Linked DNA regions of Oryctolagus cuniculus. The protein of the gene in region 1 interacts with the protein of each later gene in a pairwise test. Links are inferred from orthologs where the notes say so. Each region holds a gene or a part of one and is shown on either strand. Other genes may lie near its edges. The genes, in order: RIGI and MAVS.

Evidence for each region.
Region 2: the proteins of RIGI (region 1) and MAVS interact in binary tests that used the Homo sapiens proteins (3 or more experiments, as listed by UniProt). The link is inferred for Oryctolagus cuniculus from reciprocal best matches to the Homo sapiens genes RIGI and MAVS.

The regions. Positions count from the first base shown.
Region 1 is NC_091432.1:195,871,360-195,883,425, forward strand, and holds part of RIGI (antiviral innate immune response receptor RIG-I), read right to left. Parts: intron 10,283-12,066; coding exon 10,101-10,282; intron 7,730-10,100; coding exon 7,582-7,729; intron 6,589-7,581; coding exon 6,466-6,588; intron 5,001-6,465; coding exon 4,893-5,000; intron 4,542-4,892; coding exon 4,388-4,541; intron 3,839-4,387; coding exon 3,580-3,838; intron 589-3,579; coding exon 426-588; intron 1-425.
Region 2 is NC_091442.1:29,182,601-29,194,666, reverse strand, and holds part of MAVS (mitochondrial antiviral-signaling protein), read right to left. Parts: coding exon 11,987-12,066; intron 11,040-11,986; coding exon 10,865-11,039; intron 8,740-10,864; coding exon 8,558-8,739; intron 7,930-8,557; coding exon 7,770-7,929; intron 6,155-7,769; coding exon 5,610-6,154; intron 4,512-5,609; coding exon 4,065-4,511; 3' UTR 1-4,064.

The DNA.
Region 1 (12,066 bases):
CAAACACCATATCCTGATCTTCTGGGACAAGACAGGATGAATTCAGAGACTGCTATTTCAATTACAACAATGGTGACTACACAGCATCTGCCTCAGATGTGGAGCACAGGGAAGGACTGGGCCAGTCCTTGATCATCTGTATGCTTAACTTTCCTCAGTACCTCTGTTACACTGATAGGACCTTATAAGCCCTTTATAGAACTTAAGCATAGGAACACTGGCTCCTTACAGGCCACTTCTGACACTGACCCGTTGCCTGAGAAGAGAGTTCAGTTAAGGAGAGATACTGAACATGGCACAATTTCCCAACTTTGGGTCAAATGTTTTCTGTTAAACAGAGAGAAAGTCAAAGTTCAGTCTTCCTCTAACTGGCTCAGGATCAGGGGTAGCAGAGAATGAAGGCCTTGTTACTGGATCTCACTTACTTTTCTGGGGCGTATAAACAATTTCTTGCAGTTCTTCCAGATTCTCTTTGACCGTTGCTATTACTGATGCATCAAGAGAAGCACAGAGTTTGCAGATATATTCCACGGCTTCATCTGTGTTTTTGGCATCCCCAACACCAACAGAGGCAGTCATCCCAACGACCTATAAGAAACATTCCAAGGTATTCAATGTCTGAGAAATAGTGCTGTGTCCACAGCCTCTTGAGGAATTCTGTCCTGCTGGGATTAGGGTTTCTGTTTTGCTTTCTTTTTCACTAACTTCAGATAGAAGCATACTGTTGTTTTTCCCTGACTTTCTCAGTGATATTGCAAATGGAAAATCAAAGTACTAAGTACAAGAGTCACAATTCATCAGCTAAACACAAATTAGCAGAGAAGCGGAGAGAGAAAGCCCATCCAGAACAGGGCTGCTTAGTTCTCAACTCTTGCATCCTTCACAACATGGAGAACACCGCGCTGAAAAAGAAAGAAGAGCAGACACATTTCCCGTGTGTCTCAGCCGTGTCACAACCTCAGCCATATTATGCTGTGTGTCGGACAAATATCTTCATCTCTCCATAAAGCTGGGAAACAATCACTGTTTAAAATGGCAGGTGCCTGGACTTGGGATGATAGCATTTGTAAAGATTTAGCATAATGGCCACCTAATAAATATTCATTTCTTTCACCAATAACTACTCAGTAATCGTTGAATAATTGACCCACCAGCAAGTAATCTAGTTTACACCAATTTTATTCCAGAAGAAAAGACTAATACACATGATTGCCTTTTTTTTTTTTTTTTGGATCTGCAGGTATCTTACAGAATTTCTTCTAACCTATGCTTCCTAAATTGATGCTTATTGGAGCTGCAGAACTGTACACAAATGTGTAGATTGATATGCCATAAATTCATGATTTCCAACTTCACCTGGGCCCTCAATATGACCAACAAATCTTCAATGTATTCGTCTCGGTTCTTCCTCTCCACCCTTCCCAAGCTTCCCACCCCTTTCCAATATTGAGAATTTTCAGCAATTCATCTACATCTCCCATGTTCAAGAAAAGGGAGGATTTACACACCAGAGATTCCCCATCCCTTCCTGCGCCCATCAAAGAGCACCTATCTTAATTGACTCTTCTTGCCTCTTCTTCCCTGAGGATGCTAAAGATGGTGCTCCTCCCCAAGTCTAATTACACTCATCTACTTGCCTGCATCTCCTATACCATCTGGTGTCTCCAGGCATGTTGCTCTATCAGTCATTCCCTTCTCCCATTCAGCCTTGCTACTCCCTACCTCACAATCTACCCTCTAGTAATCCTGAAGAGTTTCAAGACTGCAGAGCACACCACACTCTTTGGTACTTCTGTGCCTCTAGACAAGCAGCAGCCTCTTACTGCAAACCATCCAGCTATCCACCTGGAAAACTCATGTTAACTTTGGCCCAAGCTAACTTCTGTTAGATGTTGCCTTACTTTCATTGCACACATAGGCGTGCTTTCACTTAGGTTCTGACCATGCTCTTGTCCTGCCTCTACAGCAGGCCTATGATATAATTCATCCTTGCCCAGCTCCCTATGAAATTCACGCTGTCTGAGGGCAAAGCTATGTCTTTTTATACTAGTATCCCCAGTGCCTGGCACAGTGCAAGGCACATGGAGGTATACAATATACATGATCAGTCCTCTGTACCCACAGGTTCTGTATCTATGGATTCAACCAACCACAACTTGAAAATGTTAAAAACAAAGCTGTACATGTACTGAACATGTACAAACCTTCCCCTTGTCATTACTCCCTAAACAATACAGTACAGCAACTACTAGTATAACCTTTGCATTCTGGGACCAGCACTGTGGATCACTTGGCTAATCCTTCACCTGCAGTGCAGGAATCACATATGGGCCCTGGGTTCTAGTCCCGGTTGCTCCTCTTCCAGTCTAGTTCTCTGCTGTGGCCCGGGAGGGCAGTGGAGGATGACCCAAGTGCTTGGGCCCTGTACCCGCATGGGAGACCAGGAAGAAGCACCTGGCTCCTGGCTTCAGATCGGCGCAGCGCGCCAGCTATAGCGGCCATTTTGGGGAGGTGAACCAATGGAAGGAAAACCTTTCTCTCTGTCTCTCCCTCTCACTGTAACTCTACTTGTGGAATAAATAAAATAAAAAAAAAAATCTTTAAAAAAATAACATTTGCATTGTGTAATCAGTAGTCCAGAAATTATTTAAAGTAAATGGGAGGATGTACATGGATTATATGCCTGCCACACTGTACCTGGGAAGTGACAGAAACCCCTATTAACCAAGCACAATGTGGATGAGTATTACCATTTTGTAAAGGTGTCTTGAGCATGTATAGATTTTATACCTGTGTAGAGGGTCCTGGAACCATCTTCCTTGGATAGTGAGGTCCCACTATATATATATATATATATATATATATATATATATATATATATATTTTTTTTTTTTTAAAGATTTATTTATTTTAAAGGTAGAGCTAGAGAGGGGCAGAGAGAGAGAGATAGAGAGAGAGAGAGGAGGAGGGAGAGAGGAGGAGGGAGAGAGGAGGAGGGAGAGAGAAAGAGGGAGAGAGAAAGAGGGATAGAGAAGGAGGGAGAGAGGGAGGGAGAGAGGGAGGGAGAAGGAGGGAGAGAGGGAGGGAGAGAGGGAGGGAGAGATGGAGGGAGAGAGGGAGGGAGGGAAAGAGAGGGGTAGAGGAGACAGGGAGAGAGAGAGGTCTTCCATTCACTGGATCACTCCCCAAATGGCTGCAACATCAGAGCTGGGCCAATCCAAAGCCAGGAGCTTCTTCTAGGTCTCCCACATGAGTACAGGGGACCAAGCTCTTGGGCCATGTTCTACTTCTTTCCCAGGCCATAAGCAGAGAGCTGGATCAGAAGCGGAGCAGCCGGGTCTCGAACCAGCACCCATATGGGATGCCTGCACTGCAGGTGGCGACTTTACCCACTACACCACAGTGCCGGCCCCCCAGCTAATATCTTAACTGAATAAATGAATGGACCAAAATTGATCAATGAGTTGTATAATGACTTAGGACCTGAGAAGGACATCCTCACTGTGGTGACAGGTGTAAGTAAATGGAATTCAGGGAGATTATACCTCTCCCAAGGAGTTCTCCTGACTGTGGACATACCTGAGGCAGTGGGTCAGAAGATCCTCCAAGTTTCTGATCCAGATAATAGAACATGATCTTATTGTATGGGTGTTGTTTACAAGTATTGTGACATTCATCAAATATCATCAAAGTGAAGACAGAGAGTGATGGAATAGTTCCGTCTTTAAGATTGTTCACAAGGATCTGTGGCGTTAAAACAATGATGTCATTGTTCTCCACGATTTGTTGCACGGGGACATTCTCAACTGTTGCTCCAGCAATGCCTGCCACACTGTACCTGGGAAGTGACAGAAACCCCTATTAACCAAGCATAATGTGGATGAGAAGCCACAACTGACGATCTTAAATCCAAAAGGAATATATTTAGAGACAAGTCCTTAGCACATAGCCTGACACGGTAAATAATCAATAAATGCAAGGTAGTTAACATAGTATATATTCATTCTTTCAAGTAACTAAAAGCAGAGAGAGTAGATCAAAGACTATTACCAAATAAATTATAAAATCATTAAAGAAGATAAATGTGATATTTAAATGTCAAATTTAGGATAGGTACTCAGTCTAGCAGTTAAGGTACCCTCATCCCTATTAAAGCGAGTTCATTATCTGTTAAATCGTTTACTCAAACCATAAAAACTAGGAGGCTTTAGAATTTCTAGTATGTATAACAAGAAAAGACTCAATTACATGCAGGAATTAACATCTAGTTTATATAAAAGCTGAATATTATAAAACAATGTAAGCATGGCTTTTAAAAAACAAAACAGAAAACAATTCATTGCATGAAGCTAGAGAAACATGACATTGGACTGATTGTTGTACCTACCCAAGTCTTTCAAAATACTCTGAGAACACAGATTTCTGCTGTTCATACACAGGGACGTGATTAGCAAAAAACACCACCTTCCCTTTTTGTCCTTGTGGAAATGTTTTAAGATGATGTTCACATATAAGAAGTGAAACAAAGGTTTTTCCACAACCTTTTAACATACAAGGAAAAGGAAAACATGTAACTAATATTATACTAGAGAATTCTGCATTTTTGGCTCCTCTAACATCATTGAACTGACTAGAAATTATGACCAGAAAAAGAAACATTAAGCTACTTCGCAGGTAACATGCACTCAAAACAGTCAGGACAAAAACTAAAAGAGGGCATTTCTTCCCTTTCGTTGAGACTGTCTAAATAGGATAGTTTTGTCAAAAGACAAATGGAACAGGAACAATCTGAAAATTGCCCATTATGTCACAGTATTCAACAAAAAAAAAAAAAGAAAAAAAGAAAAAAGCAACAGAGAAACAAACTATGTAAGTAATAGCAATTGGCTTACCAGTAGGAGCACATATTATTGTGTTTTTTCCCTTCATAGCAGGCAGAGCAAGCTCTAGCTGGTAATTTCTTGGTTTCAGTTGGCTGCATAATTTAGCGCGAGATACTTCTATAATACAAAAGGAACAAAATTTCCAGTTACCTCTCTGAGGAATCACAGCAATAGCTAAAATCCAGTAGACATGATTCTGACTGTAGAAAGAAGGGTTCGTTAGAGAAAGTTTAGAATCTTGTCTCTTTGTAACCAATTCAGCTTCTCTAACCAAGGACTTAATCTCAAAAACATGTTAGTATATAACATATTAAGAACTAGAAAAAAATACTGGAAATACCTAGCAAGTCCACCCATTTTTAAGAAAGGGAAAACTTCTTAAAAGGTAAAGTGAGGTAACCTCACTTACAAGACATATAAGGATCTTTACATGTCAGGGATATTTAAAGCAACTTATAGTCATTGATTTTATTCTGCAATGATTCTCCTCCCCCAAAACTTGCATTACTCACTTGCAGAAGTAATCTGTCAATTTTCTTTAAGAGTTATCCTAAAATCACATTTTCCCCAAAGAGTATTCTTCATTCAGCATAATTTCCTACTTGATATCCTTTTATAAATAAATTTTATATGGTATGTTATGCAAATCCCTAGTTCCCTAATGAAACAGTCATGAAAATATGCTTCCAGACACATCGGGGGCCTTAGCGGACCACAATGACGTCACACAAGAGCCTCAGTGTGAATGGGAAATGGAGTTCTTTGGAGAACATAACCCTTTGGCAAACAACACGGGCTGCATCTCAGCCCTCACTCAACCTCTAAGCCAAGCACATGTGTGCAACACACCAACCTCACACACTTGAATGGCAGCCCTGGGATATTAATAAAGGAAATTAAGTGAGTGGCTCACAATCAGTAGAGGTATTTCTTTAGAGAGGAAAGCTGATTTTAAATTTCATAGACATTGGCCAGCGCTGCAGTTCAATAGGCTAATCCTCCACCTGCGGCGCTGGCACCGCAGGTTCTAGTCCCGGTCGTGGCGCCAGATTCTGTCCCGGTTGCCCCTCTTCCAGGCCAGCTCTCTGCTGTGGCTAGGGAGTGCAGTGGAGGACGGCCCAAGTCCTTGGGCCCTGCACCCGCATGGGAGACCAGGAGAAGCACCTGGCTCCTGATCAGCGCGATGCGCCGGCCATGGCGGCCATTGCAGGGTGAACCAATGGCAAAAGGAAGACCTTTCTCTCTGTCTCTCTCACTGTCCACTCTGCCTATCAAAAAAAATAAATAAATAAAAAGATAATAAATTTCATAGACACTCATTTTCTGGAGGGACACTGCATTTCTAATACAGACACACACATACTTTTAGTGATAAAAGATTTCTAAAGTCCACTTAGCAGCTATGGAAAGAGTGGCAATTCTAATTATAGAAAAATATCTCTTTTGACATAATTCTCTTGTCTTCCTTAGTTTTCTTTACAAACTTTTTTCATAAGGCTATGACTTTTGGCACTGCCAAGCAAGTCCCCACACAAAATGCCTGTAGAGCACCATCACGAAAAAGCACAAATAATAGCAGTACCTGCAGGTGTACATGAATTCTGACTGAGATTCTCCAACTGTGGATCTTCCTGGTAGACAATATGTATGCTGGAAGTTCCCATGTCGTCCTCCTCAAGATCTTCAGCTTCAACATCTTTGGCATCTTTGTGAGATCAAAAAACATTCCAGAACCTTAACATAATCTGAATATAGTTCTGATGGTGAAACTGTCACAAAAGAAGTTATAGCACTAATGCTAAACTTTCACTAATATTTCTAACAAACACTCCCCTTCACTTCTTAAAAGAATCATTTTATCTCAGTTTGGAGTCTGAACTTCAAAGTCATTTAGGACTTTATTATTTAAGGTATGGAGTCGGGATCAGCAACTTTGGGAATTTGTTAGAAATGGAACCTTGAGATCCCGTGGAATCAGAATATGAATTTTAACAATACTCAAAAGAGTCCTACACACACTATGTCTACATGAGAAAAGCAGCGTGATTTAGCAGACACCTGACCCTGGACCCAAGAATCAGACATGTATTTTAGACACTTTTGGAAACAACCTATAATCTAAAGAAGCCTAAGCAACGCTAAGATGAACATGTGGATGATGCCAAAGCCATCCTTTAAAACAAAGCTTGGACATGTTGGCTTCAAAAAGTCAAATGACAGCCCAAATCATCACAAATTTTCTCCTTTTATTCCCGCTCTGGTTCAGTTTTAGGTGGTGCCCAACAAGAGAACTGGGCAATGACTCTACTTTGGAAAGGGGGTAAGCCTTAGAGAACTGGAACCTGTAATTCTAGAATTCTCAAGCTATATCTCAGATCATCTAAACCAGGATGAGAGCTCAGACTTGGCCTTCCCCAAATTTTTTTGGGCAAGATGGGTAAATGTAGGATGAGGGCATCTTTTCCTGATACAGTTTTAGAGGTTATATACAACCAAACGAATTCTGCATGCAAGTAGCTACCTTCCTCCTAGAACTCGACTTTATGCTGGTCTCTCAGTAGCGACACAGCCCTGGGTATCTGAAGGGGAGTCTGCCTTTGCTGGCAAGCGAACACAGGCAGGAACAAGGGAAGCGCTAAGTACAACCAGGAGGAGCACACTGCTCTCCATTGGAGAGCTCTTCCTTGGAATAACCTACCTTCCTCTACCATCCAAAGTTCACTGAATGAGTTGTTATCATTATCCAAAGCAAGTTTTAAAGTTTTGGGCCAGTTTTCCTTGTCTGATCTGAGAAGGCATTCAGCCATTTTCTCTGCACCTGCCATTATCCCCTTATTGGAGCAAACCTAAACAAAGGAAAAGCAGTGTATTTGTCAATTATTTCAAAAGTTTTCCTTGTATGAGTTTTCAATGAGAAAATGTCAATTTCAAGTGCTATATGATTTTAAATCACCATACATTATAGTTCATAACCATTTTTCTCCCATCCAACAGTCTTTTAAAACTCTTTCCTTCATCCTTATCCTTTTAAAAATTATTTATTTATTTCAAAGGCAAAGATACAGAAAAAGAGAAGAGGAGAGAGAGAGATCTCCCATCTACTGGTTCACTCTCCAAATAGCAACAATAGTCAGGGCTGGGCCAGGAGTCAGTAACATCTTCCAGGTCTCCCATATGGGTGGCAGGAGCCCAAAGACTTGGGCCAGCCTCTGCTGCTTTCCCAGGTGCACATGGAGGGAGCTGGATTGGAAGTGGAGCAGCTGGGACTCAAACCAGTGCCCATATGGTGACAATTGAACTTTCCATGACACAGTGCAGGCCCTATCCTTGTCCTTTACACATCGGTGTCACTATGTCAAGAGAAGCTTTCGCATCTCCCCTGAGTTCTTATACCTATCATTATAAGTAAGACTAGGAAAATATTCCATTTGCAAGTCATTCACACTTTCAGGATATTGGCACAGAGTGAAACGTGGAACAACGTAACATAATATTAATATGTGACTTTTCAGGATAGAGGGATTTATGTGGCTTCACTATTCATAAGAAGTAAAATGTATTGTGGACTTATTATCATATGCCAAGCATGTATAAGCACTTTACATATATTATCTTATTTAACCCTTATAAAATGTTATATTAAGGTACTGTTATTATTCTCGTTTTATGCATGACAAAACAGATGCTTAGAGAAGCTAAGTAACTTATTCAGTATCACACACTAGGAAATGGTTGAGCCAAGATTCTAACAAAATTTATCTATGTTGGAGTACTATACAGCAGTAAAAAAATGAAATCCTGTTATTCGCAACAAAATGGATGGAACTAGAAAACATTATGATAAGCCAGTCCCCAAAAGACAAATACCATATGTTCTCCTTGATCCATGGTAACTAACAGAGTACCTAAAAAGTAATCTACAGAAGTGAAATTGAGACCTTGAGATGCAATGACTGAACAGCCTTTGTCCCAGCTGTTGAGGAACAGTTTTTTTTTTTTTTTTCCCATACTGTTTACTGAATTCTTTACTTAGTGTACAGTTAATCTTATGTGTATAAAGTTAATTGAAAACAGATCTTGGGGCCAGCAACGTGGTTCACTTGGTTAATCCTCTGCCTGTGGCACTGGCATCCCATATGGACGCCAGGTGCTAGTCCCAGCTGTTCCTCTTCCAGTCCAGCTCTCTGCTGTGACCCAGGAGGGCACTGGAGGATGGCCCAAGTGCCTGAGCCCTGCACCCGCATGGGAGACCAGGAAGAAGCACTTGGCTCCTGGCTTCGGAACGGCGGAGCGCCGCCATAGCAGCCATTTGGGGGATGAACCAATGGAAGAAAGACCTTCCTCTCTGTCTCTCTCTCTGTCTATAACTCTACCTGTCAAATAAAAAAAAAACAGATCTTAGTAAAAAATAAGAAAGGGAATAGGAGAGGGAGGAGGAAGAAAGCTTGTGAATGCAGGTGGGAGGGAGGATAGGGTAGGAAGAATCACTTTGTTTCCAAATTTGTATATATAAAATGCATCAAGTTTCTAAAGCTTAAATAAAAGGTTTCTAGGTACAAAAAATTTAATGCGTCTATAGCACAAATTCTTAACTGCTAGTCTACAATCTTTTTTTAAAAAATCATTTTTTTATTTATTTAAGAGGCAGAGCCACAGACAGAGGGAGAGACAGAGAGAAACGCCTGCCAAATGTTGGCTCACTTCCCAAATAGCCACAACAGCCAGAGCTGTGCTGATCCAAAGCCAGGAGCTTCTTCTGGGTCTCCCACGCAGGTGTAGAAGCCCAAGCACTTGGGCCACCTTCTACTGCTTTCCCAGGCTACAGCAGAGAGTTGGATCAGAAGAGGAGCAGCTGGGACTCAAACCAGCACCCATATGGGATACTGGTGCCGCAGGCAGCGGCTTTACCCACTACGCCACAGTGCTGGCCCCAGCTTTTCTCTTATTATTTTTCTTTGCTGAACTGGTCGACTGTATTTAAATTTGCATGAATTATTCAGAAAAAAGTAATTTTAAGTGAAAATAGAGCAAACTTGAAAAAATTGTTACATAAAAATCAGTTCACATTACAAGTACCTTCCTAGGTAACTATGCCTCTTATAGAAGGACTTATGTGTGTTTCAATTATCGTTTTCAGTTCTAAAACAGTAGAGACAACACAAGACATCCCCATGTTCCAACTACTTTCCCCTAAAGTTAGTATTTTATTTGACTTACCTGCATAATTTCTTCATATTCCTGACTAATTATACAGTCAGACATTTCAGGAAGGATACATGTTGGATCAATTCTGTCTTTAAATGCTGGTTGTAAACGTTTCAAAAGTGCTCTGTATTCCTCCAACTTTTCAATTTTTTGGAAATTCCAATTTGCAATGGCTTCATAAAGCCCAGAATAACCTGAAAAGGAGGAATAGCAAGTTTTATGGGCTAAATTTAATAAACAAAACACAATGAAATTATCAGAGCAATCATATTTGAATATATAGTGATAAAACTCAAAGAAAGGAAAGAATCAAACACTCTACTAGAGAAATTTAGGTCAACACAGAGGAAGATTAAAAGAGAAGGAGAAAAAAAGTCACTATAATAAAACTAAAAAAGTATCAAAATGGCAGTAGTAAGACCTTACCTATCAATAATTATCTTAAATATAGATGAATTTTAAACTCAATTAAAAGAGTGACCAAATGCATAAAACAAGATCCAACTATGTACTGCTTAAAGAAAACTCAGTTCATCTAAAAGGACACTCATAGAATGAAAATTAAAGACTAAGATATTCCATGCAAATGGAACACAAAAAAAGTAGCCATATTTATATCAGATAAAACAGAACTTAAATCAAAAGCAACAAAAGGAGACAAGAAGGCCATTATACAATAAGGGGTCTAATCCATCCAGGATAAAAATCAGATATATTTGCATCCCAATACAGATCTAATGGCAGAGATATTTTCTAATATAATAATGGTAGGGAACTTCAATATATTGAAGTATACAGATCACACAAACAAAAAAATCAAAGAAACAGCAGTTAATTTTACTACAGACCAATCTGACCAAACAGACATTTATAGAATATTCCATCCAGGGGCCAGCGCCATGGCTCACTTGGCTAATCCTCCGCCTGTGGCGCCAGCATCCCATATGGGCACCGGGTTCTAGTCCTGGTTGCTCGTTTTCCAGTCCAGCTCTCTGCTGTGGCCTGGGAAGGCAGTGAAGGATGGCCCAGGTGTTTGGGCCCCTGCACCCGAGTGGCAGACCAGGAAGAGGCACCTGGCTCCTGCCTTTGGATTGGCGCAGCGCCGGCTGTAGCAGCCATTTGGGGAGTGAACCAACGGAAGGAAGACCTTTGTCTCTGTCTCTCTCTCACTGTTTGTAACTCTACCTGTTAAAATAAATAAATAAAAATCTAAAAAAAAAAAAGAATATTCCATCCAATACCTGCAAAATACACTTTTCTTACCAGCACACACACAGTCTCCAGGGCAGATCATATACTAGGTCACAAAGCCAGTCTCAACACATTAGACAGAAATCCTATTGAGTATCTCTTCTGACCACAATGCAACAAAAATGGAAATCAGTAACAAATAAAATGTTGGAAAATACATAAATATGTGGAAATTAAACATCTTACTGAATAACCAATAAATCAAAGAAAAAAATCGAAAAAGAAATTTAAAACTTTCATGGCATGAATGAAAACAGGAACAGAAACATACCAAAAGTTATGAGGTATGGCAAAAGCAGTACACAGAGGAAAGTTTATGGTAATCAATGCCCACTTAAAAAAAATAAAAGCAGAATGATTTCAAACTTACTGCTGTACCTTAAGGAATTAGAAAAACAAAAATAAATAAAAAAATATAAGAACTAATAAAAATCAGAACAGAAGTAAATGAAATAGAGTTCCAAAAATAATGAAATGAAGAGCTGGGTCTTTAAAAAGATAAATAAAATGGACAAACCTTAGCTAAGGCTAACGAAAGGAGAAGAAACGACTAAAAATTAAAGATGAAAAGGGAGATGTTACAATTGACACCACAGGAATACAAAGGATTGTTATTAATTATTACAATTATACAGCAATACATTTTATAAACTGAAAGAAATGGACAAATACCTGGACACGTACACCTTTTCCAGATGGAACCACAAAGAAATAAACACCAAATAAG
Region 2 (12,066 bases), on another chromosome or scaffold:
TAATAGCACTTAACTGATTGAAACATCATCTGCCCCCTCCCAAACTCTCCCTCCCCCACTCCGTGCTCCGGGAACACTCACCAGACCACTCTAATTATATCAGAGGCAGCGGGACTTTGATTTAGGGGATTTCAGAAAGTTCACAGGAAAAAAGAATTAAAAAGTATAAGTTTACTTTGGTGCAGAAAATTTTGGAATCTATGAATTTTTTCCCATAACAGGCATTTTCCATGAACTGTTAGCAGATCCTCCATATGCATGGATTTCAAATTTTTCTGCACCAAAATAAACATACCTTTTAACTCCATTTTCCATGAACTTTCAAAGCCCCCTTTATATTACTCAGTCACCAAGGCCTATCCCGACGCTTTGCACACAGTGCGTACAGAATAACTGACATGAAAGTCTAGTGGTCAGCATCACACATTGCCCATGTCCCCAGCCACCTGAAGGCCCCCACCATGTCATCCTCATCTTTGGCCTTGGACCTGGCACATGGGATGCCTTTAACGAGCAATGGCTGCTGAACCAATCTGGCTTCCCTGTCATTCTGGGCTTATGCCCCTGTCCCACCTCACCCAGCCTCAGGCCACTGAGCCTGGGCACACACACAACTGTGATCATATTGTTGCAACATCCCTGAGACTCTATTAATTATGTGTTGAGTGCAATTATTCTAGTAAAGCAGGTGGCAGATCTTGGCATCCCGGGCAGGGATGTGGTGATGTGGAAAATCTCACTTTAAATGGGGTCCCTGGCTCCAGTACCTAATCAGATGTGATTTGCGCACACGACTAACACCCAGCTCCAGGGCTCTCCTTCGCTTCCCGCCCGCCCCCCCCGGCCCTTCCCCCACCCAGCCTTGCAAACCAGCTGTAAATTGGGCCCACGAAGACATGAAATGGGGATTAAATGAGTTAGCACACGTAAGGGGTGAGCACAGTGCCTGATGCACAGAAGACGGGGTGGGGGTGGCGCTCCTGGTTACTGCTATTAGGGACAGCAGCAGTGGCATAGCGAGGAGGGCTCAGCCTGACCCTGCCCGGCACGAGTGGACCTCATGGCCTTGTGCAAGAGGGAAAGGACAGAAAATGGAGCACAGGGGAGCACGTGCCTGCTGCCCACCGACAGGTACCAGTTCCCACACAGCCCACGGAGCCTGGACCTCCCACCCCTGGTGGGGAGGGGGCGGTGTTTATTCTTGGCCATTACCTTCATGACAGGACGTGCATGAAGTGCGGGGCCTCAAGGCCTCCATTCCTAAGAGACCACAGACAGAACACGCTGCAGGGTTTGAATCTTGCCCAGCACGGGAATTCCCACCTGCTGCGAGGGCTCTGTCAGGGCCTCGGAAGGCTCCGGTGCAAGGAGACACAGCTGTCATATCGTCCCCTCTGGGATCGGAGCAACGGCTGAGCACTGCCCAGGAGCTGAGCAGTGGAGGAGCCTCCTGCGGCCCCTCCCCCTAAGACCCAGTCCAGTGCTGCTTGCACTTGGAGCCAGTCCAAGGGGAGGGATGTCAGCCACAGAGGCCAAGAAACCAAGTGACGGGTGCCTCATTGTCACATGGCACTGGTGCAGAACACGGAGGGCCCTGGGCGCAAAATCCTCCCAGCCCCTGTGGCTTGTTCAACGCTTTGTCCTTCAACTTACTTCTATAAAGAAACTGTAGAGAAAATAGGGCAGCTCATGGGCGAACGAGACGGCAGGGAGCGCCCCTGAAGCCCAGCCGGGCACGCAGGGTGGGGGGTGGGGTGCTGTGCACACGTGTAGGGGAGCAGTCCACAGTCAACAGCATTTTCCAAAGGAACAGGACACCGCCCTGCCTCGGGGGTACCTCCTAAGGAGACAGAAGCAGTGACTGCTCCGGCCCAGCAGCCCAGCCCAGGAAAGAAGGTACCCAGGGGCTGAGACCAGGGTACCCAAGGAGGGTCTATCCCCAGGCACGTAGGGGGCACTGGGACCGCCAGCCCCAGCGCACCACCTCCTCAAGGTGAGGTGTGTGCTCTCCCAAGCGTGGCAGCCAGCTGACTCCCCCCCCCCCCCCCGGCCCACGCGAGGACGCCCACCCTTCCTGTCTTAGGTTCTGGCTTCCTCTGACACCCAGGCTGGGAGGGGGACCCAGCTCTGTCTCCAGCATGCAGCTGAAAGCTGCATCCAAAGGCAAGACTACTGTGATCTGACCGTGCCAATTCACGGGCCAGTTTCTGCTCCTGCTTCAAGTGGCCATGGAGAGGACTTCAGGCTGACAATAGCTGACACGAGGACAGGGCTCAAGACAGGCCACGCCAGGCTTCTGGAAGCACAAGGCGAGAGCGCCGGGAGTCCCTCCGCTGGCTATGCACTTGCCGGAGGCACTTCCCGTGGCGCCTGACTGCCGGCCCTGCCCTCTGGCCACAGTCCTCGGGGCTGAGTGATACCTTCCAGCCGCCTACTTTTTCAGATTAAAACTGGCGTCTGCGTGAACTGCTCACTGCCCTACCCAACAGGGGAGCAGGGAGGGCTGGGCGAGGGCAGGCGGGGGTGATGCACAGGAATGCAGGCCGCTAGAGAAGGGGTCTCCCTGGTTTCACAGCTCAGGCTGCTGGGCCTGGAGCATGAGCTGAACAGCAGCTCAGAGGAAGAAGTCTTTAGGACCCTGCAGGCGAAACTGGCGGCCTGGGCAGGGCACCAAACCCCGCGGGCTGCCAGGCTGGCCGTGAGCGACAGTGACCCCCAACCCCGATATCTCTGCAGACACTGGCTCTTGTCCCCTGCAGAGCTCAGGAACACAGGTAGCTCCTGTGCCTGCCCCTTGTCCAGTGACGGCCACCTGCAGAGAACCCATGCACCCCAATGCATTTCTAGTATAAACATAGCCAATCTTCCCACCAGTGGGTGGGCAGGCTTCAGGCTGGGACCACAGATACCCACCTGGCCCCTGCGGGAGAACACCCCAGTCCCCATCCTGCACGGCTGGCCAGGTAGACACACCTCCCGCCCCCCAGTCCCCCGGTGCACAGGCAATCGAGGAGGAAGGAGGCCAAAGCGGGAGACCTGGCTCTGTCCCCAAAGGCGCGGCCAGGAGCTGCAGTCCCTCCAGACTTAGCAGTGGTCATAACAGGTGTCCAACTTAGAGCAACTCATCTCATCCTCACTACACACGAGGAGTCTATAAATACATATGTGTGTGCTAACCCCCATTTTACAGATGGGAATGAAGGCACAGAGAGGCTGATAGCTCACTCGGGGTCACGGAGCTCATGAGAGGCAGGGCAGCTGCAGGCCTGGCTGCCCGCCCTACAGAGCTGCACCCCGGCCCGTTGCACACTCTGCCTTTCATGCCCTCAGCTCTACCAAGCTGAGCAGGAGAGCGGGGGGAGCACTCAGTGGTCACTGGCTCTGGGCCAACCCCTGTCTGCTTTGCTTCAGAAAATCCCAGGAAAGCATGAGCCAGGTTCTCACGCTGTCCACGTGAGACCAGAGTCGGACCATCTGCCAAGGCCACCCAGCCCAGGGAGGGCTGCATCTGAGGCCCAGGCCTTGAGCTGAGCTCTGCTCACCAGGCGGCCCCTCCCTGACCCCAGAAGGGAGCTGAGAATGGAGACCAGAAGGGGGTGAAGTGGCTGGGGCAGGACTCACAGTGGCTTCTGGGCTGGGCCACTGGGGACAGGAGGTCTTATGAGGCCCCTCGACGCAGCACCCCTGCCCTCAGGTCTTCGGGCACCAGGACAGGGCGAGGGGCACTGCCAACCCCAGGAGCTGTCCAGCTGCACCTCCTGATCTGCACATTTGGGCAAATGAGCCTGGCAGGAGGCACCCCTCCCCAGCACATGGGGTGACAACCGGGATGCAGGTGAGCGGGTCTGGAGCAGGGGGGCCAGAGGAGTATCCAGAGAAGCCAAGGATGAAGAGGGACCCAGAGAAGGCACGATCCGGGACGGAAATGCTGTTTCCACATCTCCTGCCAGGCCTGCAGCCCCGCAGCTCCCCTTGGCCCAGCCCTGCAGCCCTGAGGAAGGGATGAAGGGCAGGCAGCATGCGGTGAGGGCTGAGCAGGTGTGCAGCAGGTGGTCCTGGGGCCATCAGTGAAGCAGGCGCCGCCGGTACAGCACAGCCAGCAGTGTGGCCATGAGTGCGCTGGCCACGGCTGCCCCAAACCACAAAGCCCAGGGCTCTGCCCAGACCCATTGCACAGTCTCGTCCGTGGGCTGTGGAGGCTGTTGGGTGGCGCTCAGCCCAGGTTTGCTTTCCAGGTCAGCGCTGGGACATTCTACCACGTGGAGCCCAAAAGTGCCCACCGACACGTACTCGTTCTCCTCTGGGCCGTGGCCGGGCTCGGGGAGCAGCGAGTTGCTGGGGCTGATGGCGAGATCCGCGGAGCAGCCCGAGAAAGGCTGGCTGTCCAGCCGGGAGGCCAGCACACCTGGCTTGCTCACCTCCGGCCCAGAGTGCAAGCTGCCAGAGCTGCCGTCTGGCCAGGGCTCACTGCCTCCTGTGGCACCTCTGGGTGCTGGAGCCACCGGGGTCCCCTGGGAAAGAAAGGAGAGCATTCAAGGAACCGGGGAGACAGGAAGAGAAGCTGGGTGGGGCGCCCCCTGCTGGGTGAGGGCATTAACCAGCAGCCTAACCTCTCAACTCCCGGGCCAGAGGGGATCTAATCCACGGTGGTGCAGGGCAGTGGGGGAGCCCTCCCGGGTCTGCAGTGAGCTCACCCCTGCTCCAGGAACCCACGGTGGGATGTGGGCCCACCCTCCATTAACATTTCTGCCTGGGCCTGAAGACCACAGAGCAGCCACAGCGTGTGTGGCCTGGCCATGTGTCCAAGGGTCCCGTGGATTGATTCCCCCAAGGGGACAGCAGCAGTGAGGGCTTGCAGGGGGCAGCTAAGGGGGGTTGCTGTGTCACAGAAGCTGCTCCAGACTGGATAGGCTAGGATGACCGCAAATAAGGCCTTGGTCATGCAGTGATAGGCTGGACTCCCTGGTGGGGCCTCCCACACCCTGCCCCTCACAGGTTCCTCATCTGTGCAATGGCCTTGCTAGGGGCTGGTGCTGTGGCGTAGCAGGTAAAGCTGGTGCCTACACTGCCAGCATCCCATATGGGTGCTGGTTTGAGTCCCAGCTACTGTACTTCCAACCCAGCTCCCCGTTAATGCACCTGGGAAAGCAGCAGACGATGACCCAAGTGCTTGGGCCCCTGCCAACCATGTGGGAGACCCAGAAGAAGCTCCTGGCTCCTGGCTTTGGCCTGGTGCAGCTCTGGCCACTGAGGCCATCTGAGGGGTGCACCAGCGGATGGAAGACCTTTCTCTCTTTCTCTCTGTAACTGACTTTCAAATAAATCAATAAATAAGTCTTTTAAGAGAGAAAGGAAAGAAAGAAAGGGCCTTACTGAGCTTACCTGGGGCTGAGAGCCCTAAAAGAATGAACGCACATGAACACAGCAGGTGACCCAGCATGCCTGAGCCCCCGCCCGAGGCAGCCACACTCAGGAGCTCCCCTGACTGTTATTCCTCCTCGGGTCTGGGTGAGGCCACAGACTGCACAGACAGACTGGGAAGGGTGCCAGGAGGGCCAGCTCTGCTGGGGCAGGGGTCCCACATCACTGCGAGGTGGGGTGAGACTCACCGCAGCCCTGGTGCTGCTCTTGACGGTGGGCGCCATGCCGGCAGGTGTTTTGGTGGGCGCCGTGCTGGCAGGTGTTTTGGTGGGCGCCGTGCTGGCAGGCACTTTGGGTGACACCGTGCCAGCACCTGTTGAGCTGATGGGCAGTTTGGATGGTGCTACACTGGGAAGCACGTTGGAGGACGTTGCACTGGGGGGCTTTGCGCTGGTGGGCAACTTGGAGGGCACCGTGCTGGTGAATGCGGAGCTGGCAGGCGCTGTGGGGGCTACTGTGTCCCCAGACATTGCGTTGCTGGGCACCCTGGAGGATGCTGCACTGGGGGGCACAGAGCTGGTGGGCACTGTGTCGCTGGAGCATACGGTGGCCTTTGCCTGGACACCAGCACCCTGTCCAGCAGCCAAGCCAGGGGGTGAGGAGGTGCCAGCGGATGAAACTGACGTGGCGGGTCCGGGCAAGCGGCTCGCCCTGGGAGTGGAACGGGCCAGAGGCTGGAAGGAGACGGACGGAGACACAGGTCCGCAGGGTGGCGCGGGGCTGGAGCCGGAGCCTGCAGGTGGCAAAGCAAAAGTGGAAACACAAACCCAAGGAACTGTTATCCCAAGGGCTGCAAAAGGGCCCCCTGCCCGAGCTCAGCATGCCTTCTGCAGCTGCAGGCCTTATGGTTGCAGCCACTGGCCTGAGTCCCAACAGCTGCCCTGCCCTTGACCTGTAGCCCCAGGTCTGCCCTGTCACAGGCATTAACTGTCCTTCCTCCTGGCAAGACCCAGGAGCCGCAAGGTTATCGTGAATTCTTCTCCCGCCCAGGACACCCCCTCTCACCTGCACCTGCTTTTCCCACCTTCTCCCTAGCCAGGTGGGACCTGGGACGCCCCTAGCACTGATGTCCCCCCGCCCCCAGGGCACATCCCAGTGGGACGATCCTGCATCAGGCCAGGGAGAGCAGGACGGCTCAGGCTGAAGTGGCACCAGAAGCTACCAGCCCCCAGGGGCCAGAAGATGTGGGGGCAGGGACAAAGTGCCCCAAGAGGAAGCGCAGTTTTATCAGGATCCTCCGTGGGATGCCGGGAACACACATGCCAGGCCCCAGGGCTGACAATCGGGTGATTCTTCTGTTTTTTAATTTTTATTTACTTGAAAGGTAGACAGAGACCTCGCATCCTCTGGTTCACTCCCCAAGTGCCCACTATGGCTGAGGCTGGCTAGGCCAGGCCAAAGCCAGACCTAAGAACTCCACTTAGGTTTCCCATGTGGGTGCAGGAACCCAGTTACTTGAGCCATCAGAGCTGCCTCCCAGGATCCGCACGCACAGGAAGCTGGCGTCGGAATCTGGAACCAGGACTCTAACCCAGGTACCCGGATGTGGGACACAGATGTCCTGTCAGGACAAACGTCTCCCTGGGGTGACTCCACTGGGCCTTCCTCCCAACAACAGTGGCACAGACTCTCTGGGGACACATGACCACAAATGTCCTAAAACCCAAGTGCATTTCCACCTCCACCCCAGACCCCACGGCACCTCCTGAAAGGCATCCCGGGAAAGCTGACATGGCAAAGTGCAAGGCAGGTGCTGTGAACAGGTTGGGGGTAGCTGCAGGAGGGGGCACTAAGCTGGCATCTCCCAGCCTTTAGCTGCTCGGTGCCTCCCAGGGGCCCTGAGAGCTGGCCAGGCACCAGCATCCCGTGGAACACACTCTGGGAGGCAGTGGAGAGGTGTGGGCCTGGGAGGTCGCGGCGGACGGCTCCACGTTCCTGAGGGGCAGCACTGAGGTCTGGCGTGGGGCCAGGCCCCAGCTGATGATTTGCTGGGAACTGACAACACTTACGGGGTAGGGCAGTGTCCAAGTGAGCTCTGCTGCCAACAGTCGGCCCAGCCCTGGCCATCCCACCCTTTGACAGGGGGCAGAAATGGACCTAATTCTCTTCCCCCACCTGGGCAGCAATGTACTGCAACATCTGCCCAGCCAGTGACCATGCCCCCAGCCAGCGACCACATCCTAGCCAGTGACCACGTCCCCATCCACTGGCTAAGGAGCCTCTGCTCCCTTTATTCCCACTTTGTCTCTGGTCCAGGAGGACAGAGGAGTCATTCTGACCCTGACGCTGACCCTCTCACCCTCTCGGGGAGGCCAGTGAGACCTTGTAACGCCACATTCCATGCATACCTGCTGTGTGGATGCTGGCCAAGTCTGTGTCCTGCTCCTGAGGCCTGCTGGGGCTTGGAGGGCCGAGGGCTGCTGGGTCAGAGGAGGAGGGCTCCAGGGGAACGCTGGGTGTCCTCAGGAGGACCCCAGAGCTGGGTGTGTGTGGCGTTTGCTCTGAACCCTGAAAGAGGGAAAATCAGCAGCTGCGTCCCCTGAGAGCTGGCAGAGAGCGCCTCACGCTCCGGGGACCCCCGCTACCGAAGGGCTCAGCCACCGCACAGAGCCCGGGAGCCAAGGAGACGCAGCCGGACCCCGTGTCCATGGGCAACCTTGCCTTGACCTCACAGAAGACACGCATCAACCCAAGGGCAGTCCCTGTCCACCTGTGGCCCCGGGGATGGGTCCCCCTCTCTGCAGCCACGCACAGACCCCTTCTTAGCCTCCAGGTCTCCTGGGTGCCCGCTGCCCACTCCTGACCTCTCAGTAGACACAGTCTTCTCTCCCCTGGACTTGATCTTCCTGGCAATCACTGCAGCTCGCTGTCTGCTCCCTCGTCCCACCCTCCCCATCAGCTGGTCAAGCCCCAGCTTCCTCCCCCAGCTCCGCATCTCATACTGGCCACCGCGGAGCCCTCTGAGCGGTGGCCTCCAAGCCAGCTGGAGGCAGAGGGCTGTGGGCAGCAACACGCTGAAGGCCTGGCCAGCCGCCTGAGGTGGGTCTGAGGCAGCCCCCCTTCTTGTAAGGGCCTGAGAGGGTAGAAGCGGGCAGACAGGAACACAAAAGCAGGTAGGCGGGCGGTGAGGACGCACCTCTCCCAGGGACTTGGGAGGCTGGGTGTCCTGGACAGGCAAGGGGTAACTTGGCTCCTCTCTGTGGCCAGCGTGGGGGATGCTGGGGTTTGCAGCAGGTGCAGAGGCCCCAGGAACCTCGGCAGGAAGTGATGGCGCCTCCTGTGGTGCCCCGCGAGGGGCTCCCGGGTGGGATGCAGCCCCTGGAGGACAAAAATACAGTGATATCAGGAAGGAATGGGGGGCTCCCTGTAATGGAGACACCTGGCAGCTCTTGGGCCCCCAACCCCCTCCATAGTTCAAGGCTGTCCCAATGTAGGGTGCAGTTCTGGGAGGCCACTGGGGGGAGGCAGGAGTAGCAGGCAGAGGGGAGCTGGAGAGGCCAAAGATAGGTAGCAAGGGGGGAGGCGAAGTTGGGGGGGCTGCTACCACTCACAGACCCCTGCCCCGCCCATCCCTGGCCCTGCAGCAGCTGTCCATGCTCAGGGAATCACTGCAAATCTCCACCAATGAAGAAACTCACAAGGAAGGAGGCAGGGACGGAGAAAGAAAAGCCAGTGTGGGGCATCCCGGAGCTGGAAACCTGACTGGGGTCTCCGAGGCTGCCCAGGCCTGAAGTACAAGGAGTCTTAAGACGGACACGGAGGGCCCGTGTTTGCCTCGCAGTTAACACCTGCGCCTGAGTGCCTGCAGTGCCAGCTCCACTCCTGACTCCAGCTCCCTGCTGGCACACACCCTGGGAGGCAGCAGGTGATGGCTCGAGTAATCGGACTCCCACCATAGCATGCACGACTTGGGCTGCAAGTCTAACTTCTAGCTTTGTCCTAGATCAGCCCTAGCTGTTGTGGGCATTTGGTGGGTGAACCAGCAAATGGGAGCTGTGTATGTGTGTGCCTCTCAAAATAAATTAAAAAACCGCCGGCGCCGCGGCTCACTAGGCTAATCCTCCGCCTTGCGGCGCCGGCACACCGAGTTCTAGTTCCGGTCGAGGCGCCGGATTCTGTCCCAGTTGCCCCTCTTCCAGGCCAGCTCTCTGCTGTGGCCAGGGAGTGCAGTGGAGGATGGCCCAAGTGCTTGGGCCCTGCACCCCATGGGAGACCAGGATAAGTACCTGGCTCCTGCCATCGGATCAGCGCGGTGCGCCAGCCGCAGCGCGCCAGCCGCGTCGGCCATTGGAGGGTGAACCAACGGCAAAGGAAGACCTTTCTCTCTGTCTCTCTCTCTCACTGTCCACTCCGCCTGGCAAAATAAATAAATAAATTAATTAATTAAAAAACCTCACAGAAACGCATGTTATGGGAGCCAGCACTGTGGCATAGTGGGTAAAGTCACTGCATCCCATCTGGCCACTGGTTCGAGTCCTGGCTGCTGCTCCACTTCTGATTCAGGTCCCTGCTAATGCGCCTGGGAAGGTAGCAGAGAATGGCCCCAGTGCTTGGGCCCCTGAACCCATATGGGAGACCTGGAAGAAGCTCCTGGCTCCTGGTTTCAGTCTGGCCCTGCTCTGGCCATTGATGGCATTTGGGAAATGAACCAGCAGATGGAAGATCTCTCTCTCTCTCTGTCTCTCCCTTTCCCTCTGTAACTCTGCCTTTCAAAAGAAAAAAGAGAGAGAAAGAAAGAAAACAAAAGAGAGAAAGAAGGAAGGAAAGAAAAAATAAAAAAGAAAAGAGAGGGAGGGAAGGAGGGAGGGAGGGAGGAAGGAAGAAAGAAATGCATGCTATAAAAACTGCATGGATTTAATTTTTTTTGGGGGGGCACCAAGATAAACGTGTCTTTCAAACTGTTCTTTCCACGAGCTTCCTGAAGTCCCTTGGTATGAACAAGGCTGGTTCCCTCCCTCCCCCAGGCCCTCTCCTCTCCTGACCATGCCAAATGCCCCCAGCACCAGGGCCAGGAAGGGGCAGCGGAAGGGAGCTGAGAGGTAACGGAGCAGCCTGGGGTGAGGGCTAGAAGGCTTCCAGGGGGAGCAGGAGGAGGGGAAGTAAAGTGGAGAGAGGGAGGGCGGACACGTGGGTGTGGAGAGGAAGGAACCCGGAGGCCAGAAGCAGGCAGCAGGCAAAGAACACAGCCCGACAAATCAGAGGAGTCGGCCCCTTCGACACGCACCGTCCCGCAGAATCTGCCCAGTGCAGAAACTGCCATCAGCCCCATCTTACAGAGGGAAAGCCCAAGGCTCAGCCAGGCTCCACACTCGGGTTCACCCACAGATGGCAGGAGACGGGTGGGAGGGTGAGGACAAAGGCAGGAGGTACCAAGGAGGGAGAGGCGAGGGTAGAGAAGGCAGAGGAAGCAGGCAGGGTCTCGGGGCCAGGGCAGGACGCTCACGAGGCAGGTGGCGCTGATATTCGCCAGCCACTTGGTCAGCGAGCTCCGGCAGCTCGCAGGCCCTCAGGCCCCGGATGAAGGAATCCACCCAGCCGGTCCGCCGCTGCAGGCTGTTGAACAGGTCCCAGAGGGTGTCTCGGTTGCCCAGGCGCGTGTAGGAGGCCCGCAGCCGATCCTGGAAGACACAGCCCCGGAGTCGTGCTCAAGCCAGTTGTCGCTGGCTGCCTCTTCACCCAGCATGTGACAACTGCAGAGAGGGGCACCGAGAGACCCCAGTGGGGAGCAGCCATTGGACACTGGACCCTGGCCCAGGACAAAGCCAGGATCAGGGCCCTAGAACAGAATGAGGAAGAGCCATGAGCAGCAGCCAATAGCCAACGACCAACTGCAGCTGCCGGGAAGTGGACTCTGAGTGTCCTGTAATTAGCTCTCCTTTGCTGATGAGAAGCAAAATGTATTGCCTGCAAAAGCCCTGGGACCAGAAACCCCCCCCAGAGCAAAATGAAAACAAGCCACAAAACAGAAGCAAAACACAGAAAACGGTTGCTAAGCGATAAGGGATCTTCAAGATGCAACATACAAGAGGAAGGGGTCAAACCCCATCAGCCCTGAGACGCCTGAAGACAGGAGACCCCGAAAGAGAGCGCAGGGCTCCCATTGGAGACAGCAGCTGAAATGGGGAGGGGCGTTTTTCTCTGTGCTGGGTGCGGTTGGAACCATGGGGGCCCGTGGGGCAGGGTCCTGGGACGAGGAGAATGGAATCAAATCTGGGCAGGACAAGGACTAGAGGAAGGGAAGAGAGGGCTCCGAAGAACAGTGGGACCGGAGCCAGCCGAAGCACTACACGAAATCAAACACAAGAGGGAGCCGGGGAGGCTGGCAAAGCCAACCCCACCACACAGTGCGCCAAGTAGCAGGGACAAGAGGCGGCATACAGGGCCTGGGAAAAGTTTGCAGAAACATCAGAAAGACAAGTGTATGTAGGTGCAGGAAGGTTTGGAATCCACATGTGGGCGGTTTCCGAATATGCGTTTCCTAGGAATTTTTTGAAGACCCCTGGTCCACGAGGGGCAAGGAAGGAGCTGGCCCTGGCTGGGGTGAACCGGCGGGGGCTGGGCTCACCTGGTCATTTGCCGTAAGGCAGGGCAGGTAAGGCAGGATCTCTAGAACATCCACACGGCAGAAGCTGCTGTGGTGGTGGC